Sus scrofa: one gene and its partners. The protein of the gene in region 5 purifies or fractionates together with the protein of the main gene of each other region. This does not show direct contact. Links are inferred from orthologs where the notes say so. Each region holds a gene or a part of one and is shown on either strand. Other genes may lie near its edges. The genes, in order: NCOA6, lysine-specific demethylase 6A-like, PAGR1, PAXIP1 and KMT2C.

Region 1 (3,513 bases), on a different chromosome or scaffold from region 5:
GTAACTTGCCTAAGGCCATACAGCTGGTAAATGCTGGCACTGTGATACCAACCTAAGCCTATCTCTCAACCACTTTGGTCCTCTCATGTCTATTATGGTGAAACCTGGTTTTTTGGAAAGCTCTCCTATGGAGAGGCAAGTCAGAAGAGAACAGACCCTGACAGAATACAATGAAGAAGCTGTGAGATAACTGTTTTGAAATAGCTGAAAGCACTTTGGTGAGGAGAATCCACAGAAGCTGCTGTTCACCCAATTTAACAATGTTAAATTGGAGACTCACAGGATAGATTTTGAATGAAAACTGAACCCTTGAGCTTCAATCTTTTCACCCGTAGAATGGCGTTAGGGATACCTGACATAGTTGATACTTCTTTGTAAAATGAAATATTTTATATAAATGAAAGGTGTTTCATTATTTCAAGAGCTGAGAACCATGTTAATGAATGTAAACTTAACAGAGGATTTTAAAAGAATATTTTCCCAATGTATTTCAAATAAATGGAACTATCACTATTGCCATTTAGCCCATTCTTCTTCCTCCAAGTAGAAAAGAAGTCATGCTTTCTCTTGTGGGATAGGTCATCTAAAAATTCACATGAGATGATGCCATGCCCCGAGTACATACCTATGCTGGACAGAAGCTCTGGATGAGATCCCACCTTCTCCTCCACTAGGCCACCTGCAAGTGGCTCAGATGTTATGCCAACATGATTGCTTTTTGTGGTCGGCGCCGCAGAGATGAGCTCAGAGGGTACCAGAGTGGTTACTATTGAGCGTACATTGGTGGGGAGAGTACTGCCAGGTAAGCTGGGTCCTGCTGAGGCGGAGCCCGGGCCCACAGGGCTAGAGGTCACTTTTAGGAGAGTGGGTGCTGGGGGAGTTGGGGTTTTACTGTCCAGCTCTGTGGATAACTGCTCTGTTCCCATGAGCCCTGGAGCTGCAGTCTCTAGCCCTTGGCTTTCAGTCTCTCCATCTGCACCATATTGTTCTTCCCCTTTCTCAAGAGAACCTGTAACTTTTTTACAAGCTTTCGTCAGCAAAATCTGGCCGATTTTGTCCACTTTTCCTTTGCCCTTACTAGATGAGACTGGGCTTCGTCGGTTGACAGAGGAGCCTGGACTATTAGTCAAAAGGGGAGAAACCACTGTGGTTGACTGTGAAGAGGGCAGAGTGCTCTGATCTGCTGAGGTGCTCACCTGAGGACTAGTCTCATCTGGATTCAATTCTTTCACTTGTTGGACAGGGGCATGAGGAGGGACAACTGGAGAAGCTGTACAAGGTGGGGACGGAAGCTGAACAGGCGTGGCTCGTGAGTTAAGGACCAAGGGTCGACCTGTCTGTATGTTTGGAGCAGGACTACTGGAGGGTGCATTAGGCAGTACAGGAGCAGAAGAAAATTTAATATTCTGAGGTATGTGTAGAGGGCCAACGACTGCAACAGAGGGAGGCATCAAGCCAGAGTTGGTTGTCAGTGGGGCTGCAGGAATTGTGCTTGGCTGTGATCCTTTCATAACCTGAATTATTGAGGACGAATTGATAAAGACAGGTGTAATGAACTGAGGCCGGGCATTTGACTGAGCAGCTGACTGTCCCTCAGAAACCATAACCTTGCTACCCACATTGGGCATTGTGACGACCGTTGACATTAATGCAGATTGCAGGTGAGTTGGCAGAGCCGCTGATGTGTTCGCTGAAGTCGTGATGGGGTTGGAAGTTACAAAAACAGTTATTTGATTTGGGGGCAAAGGAGTGGAAATGGAGGAAGAACTGACAGGTCTTGACATTACTTGAGGGATGCTTGGTGCAACATTAGAACTGACCTCACTCAATTCTGGATGCACAAGGGTTGAACACGGCTCGTTACTGTGAGGTAAATTTAGGGAACCAGTGGGTTCTTTAGAAGAAGACGGATCCTGCAGTGTGGGAATGACGGATGCTTTTTTCAGGTCCTCTCCAGAAACTACTGGGGGTGTTACTTCCAGATCTGTAAGCCCGGGGGGTTTTATGGTCACATTAGGAGCTCCAGAGTTGTCAAGAAGTTGACTTAATGATGTTGGTGCTTCCCTCATAGCAGGAGACACCAAAGTTTTGTTCTCTTCGACACTGGGCAGTTTGTTAGGATCCGAAGGTTGCCCATCCTTTTTGGATTGATCTTCAGGAACAACCATTTTAACTTCTTGGGCTGGGACTGCTTTTAACTCAACATTTACCTGTTCCTTCCTACCCTGGGAGTTCTGGCAATCGCTGTCCTGAGGCACATTCAAGCTTTCCTTGTTATCCTCGAGAACACCCCCTACTGCAGCAACAGGCATAGTAGGATTCTGAGGATTCAGTCCACTGTTGTTAGGGAAGCTCCCAGGTACAGGAGGATTGGGCAAAGGAGTGGGACTGACCAATACATTTCTTGGCAACTCCACATTTTGCAACAAGGCTGTGTTTGTTTGCGAGGCCAGAGTAAGTTTAGGAGCTTTTGAATTTTGTCTCCCAGGACTTGGGGTGGTTTTCCTACTTGACCCAGGACTAGACCTGCGGCTGTTGCTTGGACTTGCCCGTTTTGTTGCTCCAGAATTAGACTGCTTTCCAGAATTTACCACCACAGAATCTAATTTGTGAGTCTGTGGGGCAGCAAAATTGGAAGGATTATTCATGGAAAGATTTGAAGGTGCTTGCCCTATGGCCTTCAGAGTTGTTGGATTTAGTCCTTGTTGATCAAACCCCCTGTTTAAATTTGGCCTGGGAGGTAAAGGAATATTAATCTGTGGGGGAAAGAGTCCTGCTATGGAGGCATTGAGTCTTTCTGGTGATAGACTGATTTCTGAAGGTTCTGTGCTGGGAGGGCGGTTGTTGGGAGTCTGAGGATAATAGGGTCTGGGGCTGGCTCTGTTTGGTGTTTTAGGCCTAGATGTTTGGGTTGGAGCAGCCACATTTGGAAAGTGGTGGCCATGAGAGCTGGGCAGGGAATTTACAGGAGGTTGCTGGGGAGTTGCACCTTGAGTTGCTGAAAGGGGTGATGGTCCAGGTTTTGGCCCTGTCATCATTAACTGATTCTGGGAGACTACTAAATGTGAAGGCATGCTGTTTGGGCCTCCTGAGACCGATGGTACTTCACTGCCACTTGCCTCAGGGAGCGAGGACATCTCACCTAGCGGTGAACTGGAAGGATTCTGGGGGTTCTCCTGGTATACCATTTTCCTTGAACTATTTCCCAAAGCAGTATTCACAGGCATTGGCATTCTTTGTTTATCAGGTGATGGTGGCACGGAGGCAGGTCCTTGCAAACTGACCATGACAGGCACACTGCCACTCTGTTGCATGGGCATTCTCTGGGAGTCTGGGTTCAGGGGACCCCTTGGGGGATGGACATTCTGGGAGACTGGAAGTCTAACTGATTTGGGGTCCTGTTGCATCATGAGCATCATCATCATTTGTTGCTGCTGCTGCTGCTGCTGCTGCTGCTGCTGCTGCTGCTGCTGCTGCTGAGACTGTGGCTGACTGGGAGGTGGTGGCTGCTGT
Region 2 (4,110 bases), on a different chromosome or scaffold from region 5:
TCAGACCTGCAGCTACCAGCCTACACCACAGCCACAAAAAGGCAAGAACCAAAGTCCATCTGGCCCTATGGCCAATAGCTCAGGGTAATGTTGGATCCTTAATTCTTAGCCACTGAGAGAGGCCAGGAATTGAACCCACAACCTCATGGATACTGTTTGTGTTCTTAACTAGCTGAGCCACGATGGGAACTTCGATAAAATATTTAAATACTGAGTTTTTTAATAAAAATTAAGAAAAAAAAAAATAGGCAATACCTGGTGGCCTAGCAGTTAAGGGTCCGGCATTATCATTGCTCTGGCTCACTTCACTGCTGCTTAAATACTATCAGAGAAAGTCACTGTTTACTCTCCCAGTGATAAGGTTAACGGAGTAATAATTACCTACATGACCAAAGCTTAATTCGAGTTTTATTAAATGGATTGGATGACAAATTATTACACTATCTCATGGTCATTTTCTGCCTTAAAAACAAAGATAAAAGTGAGATTACAGGTTAAAAAAAAATTTAAGATTACATAAATTCAAGTACAGCTCAGAATTCTCGACAAGAAAAAAAAATTTTTTTAGGCCACACCTGCAGCATAGTTCTCAGGCTAGAGGTGGAAATCAGACCTGCAGCCATGGACCTACATCACAGCTCACCGCAACACCCGATATTTAATCTACCAAGTAAGGTCAGGGATTGAACCTTCAGCCTCATGAACACTAGCTGGGCTTATTACTGCTGAACTACAACAGAAACTGTCAAAAATAACTTAAAAATAAAATTTATTAGCGTTCTACCTATAGTCAGTGCAATAAAAATAACACTGCAGCACTTCAGATTGCTGTGGAGGTGCATGTTCCATCCCCTGCCTGGCAAAAATGAGTTAAAGGATCCAGGGAACTTTTATATGCCTGTGGGTGCAACCAAAACAAAAAAAGCATACATACTTAATACGTCCTTCTGAAATGGAGCAAAAGGTAAGACAAATTCACAGCTACCAGTCTCGGTTAGAAAAGTAAATATCTAATGGAAATATGACCCCCTTCCATGGAATGAAATGAAAGAAAAATATATTTTAACTAGATTTTGCTCAGAAGATTGAAATTACATGGTATTTGTGCAACTGAGATTACATGGTATTTGTGCAATCGTTTACTACGACTAAATAGATCCCAGGTTGCAAAGCACATTTTAGGTTCACGAATGCTGTTGTAAAGCTTGGTAATCTAAGAATTCTACTTTTAAATATCAGTGCTAAATTTTTATTATGCACCATCAAGACACAGTAACCAATGCAAAAGCACGCTTACCGCTAGCGTTTCCTTGTTTATATCTCTTCCCTCCTTCAAAACTCACGTCGTCATTTCCCCACCCACTATTTCCCGCCATCTTGGCCGATGGGGCAGCCATTAACTAAGTGACAGTGCCGATAACTTTTTACACAGATAAACCGAGAAAACTCGCCCGTCTATGTCAGACACCAAAAACAAGGTGCTGGGGGCGGGGGGGGGGCGGGGGATTATTGGCATTGTCAGCAATAAATCTAAGCAGCTAAACCCAAACAAACAGTTTACCCGGTTCGAAAACACACCAATCAGTATACTGGTTCAATACCCAATTCAAACTCTTCACGGTTGCAAAGGATATACAAACTATCCCTTCTGAGAACATGAGTAATTAAAGTTTAAAACGATCACTTAAAAGCAGATCTCTCAAGCCGACCGTCAAAGGGGAAAAAAAGAAAACAACAAAAAAAAAAAGAACAGCGCATGGGAATTTGAAAAATTTCAATCTGCACACGTTCACGACTCTGTGATACTGAAATTCAGGAATCATTTCCTAAAGAAAATGCTCCAAAATAACCGTTAGGCGTTGCCCGAAAACCCCGACGTCTCTGCTGCTCAAGCAACAATACAGAATTTTGCCAGGCAGTAAGCGAGGTATCCAGGTGAGAAGAGAGCAAAATAATTTTTCGTTTTCTGCCACAACGCGCCTCAGTGGCTGCAGGTGGCAAAGACAACAGGGCACAAGCGGGGGACTGCGTTGGCCCCCGAGACTGCCTTACCTTGCCCAACAGAGTTTTAGTCCTGGCGCCATCTTCATGCAGGCTCACGAACCCAAAGAGGCGGCTATGGGAGAAAATACAGACAACTTATTAACGCGTAAGTAAAGCCACTGACCGGTCCCTTCCCCATCCCGAGGCACGGGTGGCAGCAACCACTTGGACGACGCCGCCACCAGAGGTAACTCGAGCTCAAGTTACCCCGATGAGCGGTTGCAGCCGGTCGGTAGCCACGTGGGAGAGTAACAGCGGTCCGTACCTGTCCATTCCGCTAAGCGCCTCCTTCTCTTCGGTTGTCAAGCTGAGGGAACTCTCCTTCGTCTCGCCGCTGGCTTTTCCCGCCGCCATTTTCTTTTCCTCATCACCGAAAACAGCTGCAGCGGCAGCGAGCGACACTCCGCAGGATTTCATTGAAACGCAACAAATGTAAAATTCTCAAGGCCGAAATGTACCAAACCCCAGTCCAGGACGCGAAAAGAAGGTCTTGGCGCTACACACAGGCAAACCAACTTTATAGCAAGCAACGCAGGTGGCGGTGATGAAAAAGCCCAAGCTGATAGCAAAAACAGCGAATACCCACGCTGCGCAACTCGGCTGCCGAGGTCACATCATGGAGTATGCGATGACAGCAGAAAACGCGGAAGCCCGCTGTAATGGAAGACTATCTTAGACTTACAAACTTCGCCAGCACCCGCACAAAGTTGCAATCGTGTCACCGGGCAAACCCCGAGTAACCGTGACGCCCCCACCCCCTAAACCCGGCGCCGCCAATTGATGCGAAGGGCTTGCCTCACGTGACCTTTGTTGACTCACGTCACTTGCGGCTCAACCGAACTTGCTAGATACCCAATCACTCCCACGAAGTCACCGCCGACCCGTACAGGAACCGGAAGGGGCGCAAACTTTCGTGGGTAAATTGGTTAGCGGACTCGCTGATTTGGAAAAGGGTGTGCAACATGTACAGCAAACTGTTCTACATCGTTGTAAAAAATGGAGTGTCTCGGCCTCGTTAATAACAAGCTGAGGAAGGGAATGATGGAGAAGATTGAAACCTAGAAGATACTGCGGCAGACGACAGCACAGATGGAGGACTCATAGCTCTTTTTCAGCTGCGGCACTGACACAGGCGTTGTAATATTATGGAAACTCTCACCACCTGGATCATAACAAGTGTAACACTTGAACCTCCGATCCTGGAAGACAAGACTTTTGGCACCTTTGGAAAATAATAACCACGCGGCCCTAACTAACTCTTCCTGCCGGGTTTCCTATCCCGGGTCGTAAAGGGAGAGGTAAGAACCTTGAGACCACAGCCCACCCACCAGATCCCAGCAGCCTTTCGGGGAGTCTGGCTGACCAGCTAGAACTCCAAACGTTGTTGGTGCCTCCCGCACTGATCCCAAAATGGGCGGGTGATCCAAGCTGCGAAGAAATATTTAAGACCCTAACTGGAGATGCTGTAAGCCTTAGAAAACAAAACGTAACAATACTTTCTTATTTTGCTTTTGTCAGGTTGTAAATAATACAATTGTGGGGAAAATTAGGCCTCTGTAAATTACTTTTCTTAAAACGGGCAACTCTTGTGTGATACTTTATGCAATATCATCTGCGCTGTACCTCCAGTTGTTATTAATTGGGAAAATCCCTTTCTTTTTTTTTTTTGCTTTTTAAGGTCACACCCAACCCCACTCCCAGGGTGGAGTTCGCATCTGAGCTGTTGCTGCTGGGCCTGTGCCCCAGACACAGCAGTGCCAGATCCAAGCTGGGTCTATGACCTATACCACAGCTCACCACATGGCCAAATCCTTAACCTGAGCAAGCCCCAGGATCGGACCGCAACCTCATGGTTCCCAGTTGGATTCCTTTTAGCTGAGCCACGGACGGGAGCTCCTGAAAAATGCTAACTTTTAATAAGTATCTTAAAAAATACTTGTAAGATTAGGAAAATGCTTATTTTTTAAAAATAGTTGCCTGAAATACTTAGTTTTGGGAAAATTTCCCTTGATCTAAAACAGACAAAATGTATTTAAACTTTGATTTACATAAAGAGGAGGACAGTTT
Region 3 (4,160 bases), on a different chromosome or scaffold from region 5:
ACCCGTCCCTCTCCAGTGAACCAAGTCACTGCAATCAGATTCTTAATCCACTGCACCAAGCAGGAACTCCTCCTTCGGAGAATTTAAAACAGAATTGGGAGTTCCTGTCGTGGCACAGCAGCAACAAATCCTACTAGGAACCATGAGGTTGCAGGTTCGATCCCTGGCCTTGCTCAGTGGGTTAAGGATCCAGTGTTGCCGTGAGCTGTGGTGTAGGTCGCAGATGTGGCCGGATCACGTGTTGCTGTGGTGTAGGCCAGGGGCTGCAGCTCCAATTGGACCGCTAGCCTGGAAACCTCCATTTGCCACACTTGAGGCCCTAAAAATAAAATAATAATAATTTAAAAAAATTTAAAACAGATTTGAGCTGACTTATGTTTTGAAAGAGAGACGGCTTGGATCAGGGTGTCACATTAAAGACAGAGACTAGTAGCTGAATTTGGAAATGTGGAGGCAGACCTAACAAGACTTGCTGCTGGTTTGAATGTTGACATAAAAGAAAGAGAAATCGGGAGTTCCCGTCGTGGCGCAGTGGTTAACAAATCCGACTAGGAACCATGAGGTTGCGGGTTCAATCCCTGCCCTTGCTCAGCGGGTTAACGATCCGGCGTTGCCGTGAGCTGTGGTGTAGGTTGCAGGCGCGGCTCGGATCCCGCGTTGCTGTGGCTCTGGCATAGGCTGGCGGCTACAGCTCCCATTAGACCCCTAGCCTGGGACCCTCCATATGCCGCGGGAGCGGCCCAAGAAATAACAACAATAACAACAACAACAACAACAAAAAAAGACAAAAGACAAAAAAAAAAAAAAAAAAAGAAAGAAAGAGAAATCAAGAATGGCTCTGAGAGGAGTTCCCGTCTTGGCTCAGAGGTTAACGAACCTGACTAGTATCCATGAGGATTCGGGTTCGATCCCTGGCCCCACTCAGTGGGCTAAGGATCCGGTGTTGCCATGAGCCGTGGTGTAGGTCCCAGATGTGGCTTAGATCTCATGTTGCTGTGGCTGTGGTGTAGGCCAGCAGCTATAGCTCTGATTTGACCCCTAGCCTGGGAACCTCCATATGCCGCAGATGCAGCCCTAAACACACACACACACAAGAGAGAGAGAGAGAATGGCTCTGACGGTAAACTCTAGGCATGGGAAGCTAGGTCAGATTAGGAGGTGTACGCAGTAGCATAGGGATGTGGAGCTAGATAATGACCAAGAAGACTCGGACTTCTGGGATGGGGGTGGGGGGGAAATGAGACCAAAGGAATGGGAAATATGATAGAATTACCTGTGATAATCTTTTAAAAGAAAATTGGGTACCACCTAGACTGGAAGGATGGCAACCACTGAGTGCACGCTCTCCCCTGAAGCTGTGATTTGTGTAGCTACCAAGGAACCAAGCAGAGACCTTTTTTTTTTTTTTTTTTTTGACCACACCCATGGAATGTGGAAGTTCCCAGGCCAAGGTTCGAACCTGTGCCAAAGCAGTGACAATGCTGGGTCCTTTGCCACTAAGCCATCAGAGAACGCCTCAAAGACCTCTTTCAGGGAGTCCCTTTCGGAGTAAGTGGGAACAGAGGCCCCCCCGCGCCCCCCATTCTCCACTCTTGTCTGTACCTGGGGTGCGCCTCCGGTCAATCAGGGAGTCCTTTGGTGTCATTGGCTCATCATCAAAATCAAATTCTGTGGGCATGTGCGGCCTGGGACAGGTGGAGAGAGAGAGGAGGGTGAGGGAGATCCTTCCAAACCTCCACTGGTGCTTCTCCCGGGCCTTCGGGCTCTTCCCCTCCCTCTAACTTCCCATGCTCCTGGGTCCCACCTCCCTCCCTATTTCCTCCTGGCATCAAGGAAGCAATCCTCACTTTTCCTCTTCCTCCTCTTTGGCCTCGGGTTCCTCATCAGATCTTTCCTCTTCACTCTGGGCCTCAGGCGTAGGTGGTCGGCGGGGCAGGATCTCTGCCTGAAGCTCCAGGGTACCGTGGGCAGCCAGCAGTTCATAGAGCCGTTGGATTTCGGAGGGAGGTGGCATCCAGGGCTGCCCATCCTCAGGCAGCTCCACCTCTTCATCGCTGCAGGGCACGCACCAGTCCTCGGAGTCTCCCTGGGCGGGCTCTTCCCCCTCAGTGCTGGGGGCTTCTCCCTGCACTTCCTCGGCCCTGGACCCCTCATGTTCGGCCTCCTCCCGGCCTCCTTCCCCCTCTTCCTCGGCTTTATCGGCCGAAGCAGAGGGGCCTCCGGTGTCCTCCACGGCCAGAGCCTGGAGGCCGGAGGTCACTTCCCCTTCTTCAGACAGAGGCGCCGCCGCGGTGGCTGCCGTGTCTCCATGACCCCGGACAAGGGACATAAGCCACTAGGGAAGGGGCCCAGCGATGCCAGGAGATGCAGGAGTACCAAGCCGGGGATTCCCCCCGCGCCCCCTCCCTCCCTCCACTCCCTCCCAAAAAAAGGGATCACCCCGGGGTTCGGGGACTGTTTCGCTAACCAATCAGGCTCCAACAGCGGTCTCGCGACCAGACCACCGGTTCCCAGGAGGGGGCGCTCAGTCCCCTCCAAGGACCCCGCCCCCCACAGATCGAGATCCGGTACTCCGAGGTTTCCAGCGAGCGGCAGAAACCACTTTCCGGGCCGGAGACGGGCGGACCCGCTCTTCTCGCCTCCGCACTACGCCGCTCTACACCTGGATGCGGCGTCCTCTCCCCACACCTCGAAGGTCCCCCACCTCAGCGGCCGTACGCACCTGGAGCTAAGACCCGCCTCCCGGGCCGCGCAGGGTCAAAGTACGCAGGCGCACAGATACGGCGCGGGAGGCTCCGCTTTAGTCAAAGCTACTTGGGAGAGGAAAGCAAGGGGAGGCTTGCACATGCGCAGGTAGGCGCTCGGGAACGATAGGCTTCGGCCCACAGTAAAGATGGCCACGGGGGTGGCGCATGCGCAAATCACCTAGTAGGTTGTGCCCCAAAGGAGGCTGTACCTCCGGCCCCGCGGCGCAGGCACGTAAGGACCAACTGAGGCTGGAGGCGAGTATCATGCAGTCTCCGTTTATTGGTGTTTCAGACTCATGCAGCATCCGGCATACAAAAAGGGAGAATCAGTTTGATGTATCCTTTTTTTTTTTTTTTTTAAAGACTTTTAGGTTTTTTCCCTACGCTTTTTTTTATATTAAAAAAAACACAAAAAAACCAAAACCAAACCAACTCCGAACCGCGTTGTGGCTCAGACCCTGCCTCCCCAGTGAACTGTCGCGTGCAACAAACCTCTCTCGTCCTCTTAGAAAATAATCGCAGCTCTCTCCGCCCCTTCTTTGCTCCCTGCAGCTGGGAGCTTTGGTCCAATTTTTTCTGTTCTTACAGTTACAAAGCACGTGAATGACTCCAGCCGCGACGCCTTTAACAAACCGACTGGGTTAAAAAGCCCAGGCGGGGCAGGTCAGCTCGGGCCGACCGGGGAGGGTTCGAGAGCCTCGCCCCTCCCTTCTACCAGGTGCTTGTTCGGAACAGTACCCGCCACCCCTGCACAAATCTACAAACGAGGCCCGGCTTGCCAGCTCTGCGACCCCGAGGCACCCCGGGGGTGTCTGGGCCTGGGTAGTCCCTGCAGAGAACAGTCGCGAGCCCGGGCTAGGGAGCCCTCTCCAGACACCGCTCCCCTCCCCCAGCCTGATCTAAGTGCTGGAGTTTTTGCAGAATAAACGGTGGAGGAGGGTGGAGGAGAGGATGCAGAGGGGAGATGAGGAGGCAGGAAGAGGAAGGGGGTGGAGGGTGTGGAGAGGGAAGAGGAGATGAATGAGGAAGGGAAGGAAGAGAGGAGGGGGGGGAGGGGGGGATGCTGAGACAATAAAAAGTTGGGAAATGGAGATCCGGGATGAGGTGCAGGGGACTCGGGAGGGTGTAGTGCAGGAAGGCCGCAAGAGATGCAGGAAGGCTGAGAGCAAAGAGAGTCTGGGAGATGGTCAGGGAGGTTTCCAGAAGTGCAAGGAGGTTTCCAGAAGTGCAGGGAGGTTTCCAGAAGTGCAGGGGTAGGGAAGCCAAGAGGCTGAAGGGGAGGCAGGCAAAAGTGCAGGGAGGTTGGACACAGAGCAGGGAACAGGGAGGCCTACGGTTGGCAGAGGAGCCTGGCAGGATGCAGGAGCAGGAAAGAAGCTGTAAACAAGGCTGCTCAGGCTCCATTGGTCCCTA
Region 4 (3,513 bases), about 2.2 Mb from region 5:
TTTATAGTAACTGTTTCTACATTTTTCTTCTGCCTGCTGCACTGTTAGGTTTTATATTTCATTAATATCTTTTAAGAACACAGTAATTTCTAAAATCTCAATTGACAAGGACTTTTCTAAAGACCGTAATACGGCTGGTCCTCATTATCCGTGGGTTTCGTATTCATGCCCACCTGCTACCATTTATCTGAAACGCATACCCAGTTAGTTTCTGCTGCCAGGGCCAGTGACCAGGTGACAGTTTCACCACGAGCCCTTCATGGAACAGGAGTCAACTGTACTGCTGCAGCTACAGATTTTATTTTATTTTTTTCATATTATTGACTTTAATATTTTCATGTTAATGATTTATTCTTAGGTTTTACTAGCTTAGATACAGAATCATGTAATTTCAAGTTTGGTTATAGCTTTGCTGTAAGTAGTGTCTTTACTTTTCTGAACCTTAATTTCTCATCTATAAAACTTGCCGTGAACTTATTAACCCTCAAGGCTGAATTATGTTTAACTACCAGTGGCCAAGGAAAGGACATGCTATGAAATGTTTCACTACTGACCTAACCAGGACTTGCCCCCTAAGGAACCAGGAAGGTCAGGTGAGTGAGTCAGAAGGATGTGGTGCCCATGGGGACCAGGAGTGTCCCTGATGGCCTCTTGGGTCCCTGACCACGCGTCTTGCCTTATCCTTTGGCGGTGGAATCATTCTGGTCCGGGGCGGCGGGCAGTGAGGGGCAGAGGTGAGAACGGGGGAGAAGACCACAGCGCCCCAGGGCAGACTGCGGCCAGAGACACGCGTGTGCGTCTGCCTTGATTAGCAGAGGCGGGACGTCGGTACTCCGGCCACGCAACGCGGGACCAAGGAAGCAGGTGCCCGTGCCCTCCGGATGGGACACGGAGACCGAAAGCAACAAACGATGGAAAGGGCAGTGGAGCTCCAGCCAGACAAGTGGGGGCGAGGGTTACAGGCTGGGTGGCTTCAAGGACGGCATCGCTGCTGCTCGGGCACGACGCCTCCACAGGGAAGGAAGTCCCATGGGGTCAGAGTCATGCTGCACTTTGCAGCAAAAAGGCGCTAAAAGCACTCAGGTTTTTCCAAATGAGTCCCCGCAGCTTTCTTGCGACGTCCCTGCCAAAAGGACCCCACCCAACGCTCAGCCAGCCTGCCGGACCGCGGGTGCGACCTCACTCGACAGCCAGCGCTGGGGACAAGGCGCAGGGCCCAGGACTCAGTGGACGGGAGCACGTCTGCGAGTGCCAACGGTAAGCTCACCAATGAACTTCTGACACTTGAAACACTCCTCCAGCCACTCGGGGGTCACGATGTGCTTCACCACGGAGATGGCCGTCAGGAACTTGACCGTGCGCGTCACCTTGCTGGCGATGAGGTGGGTGCACTTCTGCGCAGACTCGGCGACCTCCCCTCCAAGGATGTAGAGCTTCTGGAGGCCGGGACCACAGGTCAGAGGTGAGAGCTCGGCGTACCGAGCACAGCCTGACTGTCTACAGAGCTCAGCCCGCACACACGGGGCAACTGGACCAAGAACCCGATCTTACAATGTCTGTGTTTGGAATCAAGGCCATACAAATCGAGATGCGAACAGGAGCCCTACCGGACCCCAAGGAGACACCGCCCCCACCCCCCCAGAACAAGTAAAATGTCCCGAGACCAAGGCACGCATCGCATGATGACAAGCAAATATGCCCAGACTTTCTAAGTGGAAATGAGTGCTAATGAGGCTCATTAAGACAGTTCTCTAGGAGCTCCCTGGTGGCCTAGAGGTTAAGGACTTGGCACTGCGGTGGTGCGGTTTTGATCCCTGGCCTGGGAACTTTTGCATGCCTCAAGGATGGAAAAAAATACTGTAAGCAATTCCTCATTAAAGGTTAGTTTAGTAAAAGTGCTGGCAGAACAAACAGAAGGGAACATCCCTAAAAATCCTTATGCAAAATAGAACAGAATTTTACCTTAGTATACTGTTGAACTTGAAGAGGCTCAAATCCAGTGAAAAGCACGAAGGGGGTCAATTCCGGTGTTAGCTTCTTGGTGGGAGGTGGTACATCTTCAATTCTATAAAGACACATGAGGGTGATTTTATTACTTACTTAAAGCTCTTTGGCGTGCCTGTTGTGGTGCAGTGGGTTAAGGATTTGGCATTTGCTAGCCCAGGTTGCAGCCCTGGCTCAGATGTGATCTGTGGCCCTGGGAACTTCCACTCACCACAGGGGTGGAGCTGAAAAACGGCTCCTTAGCAAATGAGGGCGTTTGATGGCTTCAGGTGTGTGCTTTCCTTTCCTCACAGGGAGAAGGCAGTGAGTTTCCTCTTCTTTCCACCACTGACACAGAGGTGGCCCAGGGGCGGCAGCCACTGCCTTTCCACTTCGTCCCCGTCCCCTGCCTTCTCCCCAACACTGAGCCTGGTGCCCGCCGTCCCTCTCCTCCTGCACCAGGAGGCTCGGCTCGGCTCCAGCCCTGCGCTTTCCACCTGCCCCGCCCCGCCCACCCCGGGAGGCACCAGAACGAAGCTGCTGGACTCAAGCACACATTGCAAGTTAAATTTCTCAGTCTTTTACATTTCGCTAATTTTTTCCAAATTTTGTTTTTAGCTTATATTTGGAACAATCTATTCAATTTTTTAAAAGGTAATTTGTGGCATTTTAACGACAGTCATAAAAACATACAATCATATAACTAGGCTTTCATAAGTCCACTAACTCTAGGCAGTGTGGGCATGCGGAGTGGGAGGTGACCGCCCCGCGTGCACACCCTGGGAACAGGGGGGTCTCCTCTAACGAGCCGTGAGCTCGTCTCAGAGGTGAGGCTGGTCAGGTCTGCACACCACGCCCACCCCCTCGGGGTCAGGGGTCAGGAGAGCCTCCCCGGAGCTCTGGAGGACACCTGGGTGCTAGTTCCCCATCCTGTCCCGTCCTCTCAACAGCAGCTCATGGTTTACACACTGAAGGTTCTGGTACAGTTTTGGTTACAGAAAGAAAAACACGGAGTCCTCCTGTGGTGCAGGCTGATCCCTGGCAGGTGCAGCCACAAAGAGAAAAAAGGAAAGCCAGTGGCTTTCCCATCCTCCAGCAACAAAAGCCTTGTCATAATCAAGCTGAGGTACAATCAGCACATCCTGTTTGACATGAAAGTTTCAGAAGCTTTCCCACTTGCCCCATTTCCTGAAACCTGTAAAAGACCACCAACCACACAAAGGGAAGGGATTCTTCCTACCTGGCTCTTTTGGAAGAAGGCTGGATATTCGTTACTTCGTTCTGCTTCGGCTTGGGAGGTAGTCTGACACCCTGCAATGAAAGGCATCGCGTCACTCCACCTCCCAAGGCATCCAGCAGCTTCGAACAGGTTTACACACGCCCCCCAAGCGCCCCACACAGGCAGCACCTCAGAACGGGCACCGCCTGGGAAGCCAGGCGGACTCTGGCCAGACGCCCGCCAAGGTGACGTTCCGGCCCTGCTCTGTATTCACCTGACCCCACGGTTCTGTAAACTGTCTCCCTCCCTCT
Region 5 (3,513 bases):
GCTGCTATAAAGGATGAGAACTAGGAGAAGGCACCCAGGGGGACGGACGGCAAACGCTCAGGCACCCCACCCTGGAGTGACCAGCCCTGCCCAGCGTCCAAGCGGGGCCTCACCTTTCGGCGACGTGTCGCTCAGGACAAGGTCTTCGTGGCCGTGCTCCACGATCCTGATCACGAACACGGGGCGCCCGTCCTTCTCCTCGATGGAGCACAGGTAGCGGCAGCGCCGGTTGGCGTAGCGCGTGCTCCAGTAGAGCCGGCTGGCCTCGTAGCCCACGGGGAAGAGCGCCTTGGCCGAGTGGAAGGCCTGCATCTGCTGCGGGAGCAGCTGGCCGATGGTGTGGAAGATGAGGCTGCCCACCCGGAAGGTGTGGTCGCGCTCCCCCCGCTGCACGATGCTGGCGATCTGCCGCACCTCGTCGCGCTGCACGTAGACCCTCCTGAAGACGGCGAAGGAGCTCAGCTCCTGCTCGTGGACCCCCTTTGGCTTATGCATGGGGCACAGCGTGGTTTTGTCTCGGAAGAACATGCACTGAGCTTTCACGGCGCAGGTGAAGTGGTAACTGTTGGTGCATCGAAATCGGTGGCACCCGCTGGTGGCCCCCATCTTGTGGCAGAAGACACACTTCATCTGCAGGCCGCGCCTGAGGGCGAGCTCGACGTTGATTAAGGCGCCAGCCTGGGTCTCGTAGACCTCGGTGGACCACAGCGCGCAGTTCAGGTGCACCCACAGGTCCAAGTCGAGGTTGAGCAGCCGGGCCGGCCCGTCTGTCAGGCCGTCGCCTTCTTCGTGGCAGAAGCAGCACTTCCGATAGTCTCTGGGCACAGGATCGGGCTTCAGGGACGTGCCCAGTTTCTTCAGAAACTCATCGATCTCCTCCTCGCAGGGGGGTCGGAACGCCCCCTTGGGGACCACGATGTGGACGCTCCACTTCTTCCACTTCATGCCCCGCCACTTCTTAGCGCTCGGCCGGCAGTCCTCCAAGCCGCCGTGGACGGTCCTCAGCCGAGGCTTTAACTTGACGGTGACTTTCAGCTCATCGGGCTTTGCCTCGACCTGGGCGGCTTCAAAAGCAGGAGGGAACGTGATGGGAGGCGACGCGGGGGGCGAAGCTGCCTCCTGGAACTGCGGCAGGCAACGCACATCCAAAGTGGAGATGTTGGTGCTGTACTGATGGAAAGCTCTGGAAGGTGGCTCTCTGACCGGTGACTGTGGCAACGAAGCCATGCAGTCCTGAGCAATAAAGAGAAGCACAAAAACGAGGCATTCAAGAGCCCGAACAGCAACCGGCACTAGAACAAGGCAAAATGAGCAACAGGGTTCTGACCGTCTTCGGCTGGGGCTCTGAACCTGAGTGGCGAGGACTTTTGGGCAGCACGAGTCGGTGCTCAATGTCCAGTATTTACAGATCAACAGGGACAGCGTATTTTGCTTAAACTTCCATGGACACTCACTTGCAAACCATAATAAAGCCAGAAAAATCAGTACTGCCAGTGCCTGCTGAATTTACACGACACAACTTCAGCTCACTCTCTCTTACACGCTCACCCCACCCTCCGAAATTCCCGTTTGTTAATCTTAGGCTTAGTTAGTTGGCAGACGCGTGAGGGAGGGGAAGACGTCCCCTGCCAGCAAACGGGGCACAGTGAACTTTCCTCAGAGGCGGGGGGTTGGGATCCAGCTGCTGAAAGGGCTGAGCTGAGAGAGAAGCTCCATTAGTTTCTCTTTGGACTCAAAGTGTCACAAACAAGTCAAAGAGCAAACCCACAGCCTCTCCTCATACACCCCTTCCTATGTGGTTCTGAAAAAAGATAAGCCTCACATAAAGTCCAGAAGCAGCCAGGCATTGCATACCCCTTCAAAAATTATTTGGCGAAAAAACAAAACCAAAAACAATTCCTTCTCTCATCTAGGCAGATATAGTTTAACGTCTAAACTTACTGCATGTGGGAAAACCACCCTTCACGTCGTCCGCGTCCCCTTCACACCCAGACGCACCCAGAGAACCACGCAAAAGCAAGCAGGCCTTTCCCACCGCAGCATGAGAAAGGCACTTCCCCCCCAGAATACATGAAGAGCTTCCAAATGCGTCTGTGAACAGGTTTTGCCATTGGGATAAAAATCAATGCAGCAATCTTTCACAGCTGTAATTAAATTATTTGTAATTAAATAAGATTTCGGATTTTAGTATTAGGGTTTTACTCAATTCTGAACTTTTAAGATATAATTCAGATCTACCCGCTCTTGCCAAAGAAGCTAAACTTATTTAACCGGCAACAACAACCGGGACCAATTGCTCTTTCTCAGCTCGGCTACCAAGCAGGTGAGTGGCACCTGCTCCCACTCCCCGGGAGAGCTCTGCGTGGGGCCGGGGCACATTCCCAGACACGCAAGCTCCTCCGCACAGACGGAGACGGTCGAGTTTTACCTTGCTCTCCGAGTTTTTTGCTTGGGCAGCTGATGAATAGAGAACAAAGCAGTTGTTACTGCAGAAGACAATGTCCTTTTCCACCCTACTGGAGCTTTCTCGGAAATCCTGAAAGGCAACGAGAAACGTGGGGGGAGCTCAACAAGTCAAAAGTTAATAAAAACAAGATCTTTACAGAGTTGGTTTTTATGTTCTGCTCCAAGTGAAAAGTAGCCACCTTAGAAGTACACAGATAACTGCGAGCTGATATTTAGCATGTAATGATTTCGCCACAAAGACACACTTACAGAAATAAACTTTACTTTCCATATTTCACTGAACTTAAAAACACGCCGTTCTAACAGCGTCCACCTTAACAGCCAGCTGCGGTAATCTGGTTTTAAGCTTAAGCACAAGGAACATAAGTAGAGGCTCCTTCCCGCAACGGATGTCCCGTGGGTGCAGGAGCAGGGCCCTGCCCAGGCGGCCGGCAGGGGCGGGGACGCCCACACCCACACTCACCCACACCCACACTCACATACCTTGTTCACAAAGGCCAGGTCTCTGACCGACTTCCTCACGCCGCTGCCCAGAATAACCACTTTGCAGTGGCAGCACCACTGTGGTCTGAGGGCCGCACTTTCTGCAATGCCATGACTAGCATCCTTGTATCCAGAAAGACCTAGAGGCAAAAGACTTCTGTCAGCGGCTAAACCTGACCGGTCGCACAGATGGTACATGATGACCAGCTATATACCGTATCAATCTACTGTAACGTGGTTCATTTAACTTACCGTGTATTAGTCTCTGTTAAGTAATAAAAGCCTAATCTGAGCAATGGCTACGGGGCGCCTCTTGCGTGCACGACCCTGGGGTACAAGCAGAGGAGCCCAGCTCACACGGCTGAACGACAACTGGGCCGCGAGACGTGTGGGGGGAACCGGGTCACCCGCTGGGCCGTGTTCAGCCTCCGTGCGAGTGGCCGGGAGGGAGACCACGTATGCTCGAGGGCGAAGACGACACGAAAGGTCTCGTGGGAGGTGAGGAGGGCGTGCATGGGCTCTTCAGTGGGTGTGATTCGGAAACTCAAAGAGGGAGCGCGGCAG

The links.
Region 1: the proteins of KMT2C (region 5) and NCOA6 purify together in Homo sapiens (co-immunoprecipitation; 7 studies listed by BioGRID and IntAct, with this or other methods). This does not show direct contact. The link is inferred for Sus scrofa from reciprocal best matches to the Homo sapiens genes KMT2C and NCOA6.
Region 2: the proteins of KMT2C (region 5) and lysine-specific demethylase 6A-like purify together in Homo sapiens (affinity purification with mass spectrometry; 3 studies listed by BioGRID and IntAct, with this or other methods). This does not show direct contact. The link is inferred for Sus scrofa from reciprocal best matches to the Homo sapiens genes KMT2C and KDM6A.
Region 3: the proteins of KMT2C (region 5) and PAGR1 purify together in Homo sapiens (affinity purification with mass spectrometry; 3 studies listed by BioGRID and IntAct, with this or other methods). This does not show direct contact. The link is inferred for Sus scrofa from reciprocal best matches to the Homo sapiens genes KMT2C and PAGR1.
Region 4: the proteins of KMT2C (region 5) and PAXIP1 purify together in Homo sapiens (affinity purification with mass spectrometry; 4 studies listed by BioGRID and IntAct, with this or other methods). This does not show direct contact. The link is inferred for Sus scrofa from reciprocal best matches to the Homo sapiens genes KMT2C and PAXIP1.

What each region holds. Positions count from the first base shown.
Region 1 is NC_010459.5:38,131,391-38,134,903, forward strand, and holds part of NCOA6 (nuclear receptor coactivator 6), read right to left. Parts: coding exon 626-3,513; intron 1-625. UniProt on the Homo sapiens protein: Nuclear receptor coactivator that directly binds nuclear receptors and stimulates the transcriptional activities in a hormone-dependent fashion. Coactivates expression in an agonist- and AF2-dependent manner.
Region 2 is NC_010462.3:9,085,162-9,089,271, forward strand, and holds the start of lysine-specific demethylase 6A-like, read right to left. Parts: upstream 2,810-4,110; 5' UTR 2,461-2,809; coding exon 2,309-2,460; intron 2,117-2,308; coding exon 2,053-2,116; intron 1-2,052. UniProt on the Homo sapiens protein: Histone demethylase that specifically demethylates 'Lys-27' of histone H3, thereby playing a central role in histone code. Demethylates trimethylated and dimethylated but not monomethylated H3 'Lys-27'.
Region 3 is NC_010445.4:18,051,324-18,055,483, reverse strand, and holds the start of PAGR1 (PAXIP1-associated glutamate-rich protein 1), read right to left. Parts: upstream 2,806-4,160; 5' UTR 2,330-2,805; coding exon 1,848-2,329; intron 1,686-1,847; coding exon 1,603-1,685; intron 1-1,602. UniProt on the Homo sapiens protein: Its association with the histone methyltransferase MLL2/MLL3 complex is suggesting a role in epigenetic transcriptional activation. However, in association with PAXIP1/PTIP is proposed to function at least in part independently of the MLL2/MLL3 complex.
Region 4 is NC_010460.4:3,101,352-3,104,864, reverse strand, and holds part of PAXIP1 (PAX-interacting protein 1), read right to left. Parts: intron 3,295-3,513; coding exon 3,224-3,294; intron 2,066-3,223; coding exon 1,963-2,065; intron 1,437-1,962; coding exon 1,268-1,436; intron 1,124-1,267; coding exon of another isoform or gene 1,080-1,123; exon of another isoform or gene 352-1,079; intron 1-351.
Region 5 is NC_010460.4:5,265,791-5,269,303, reverse strand, and holds part of KMT2C (histone-lysine N-methyltransferase 2C), read right to left. Parts: intron 3,090-3,513; coding exon 2,950-3,089; intron 2,537-2,949; coding exon 2,429-2,536; intron 1,234-2,428; coding exon 114-1,233; intron 1-113. UniProt on the Homo sapiens protein: Histone methyltransferase that catalyzes methyl group transfer from S-adenosyl-L-methionine to the epsilon-amino group of 'Lys-4' of histone H3 (H3K4).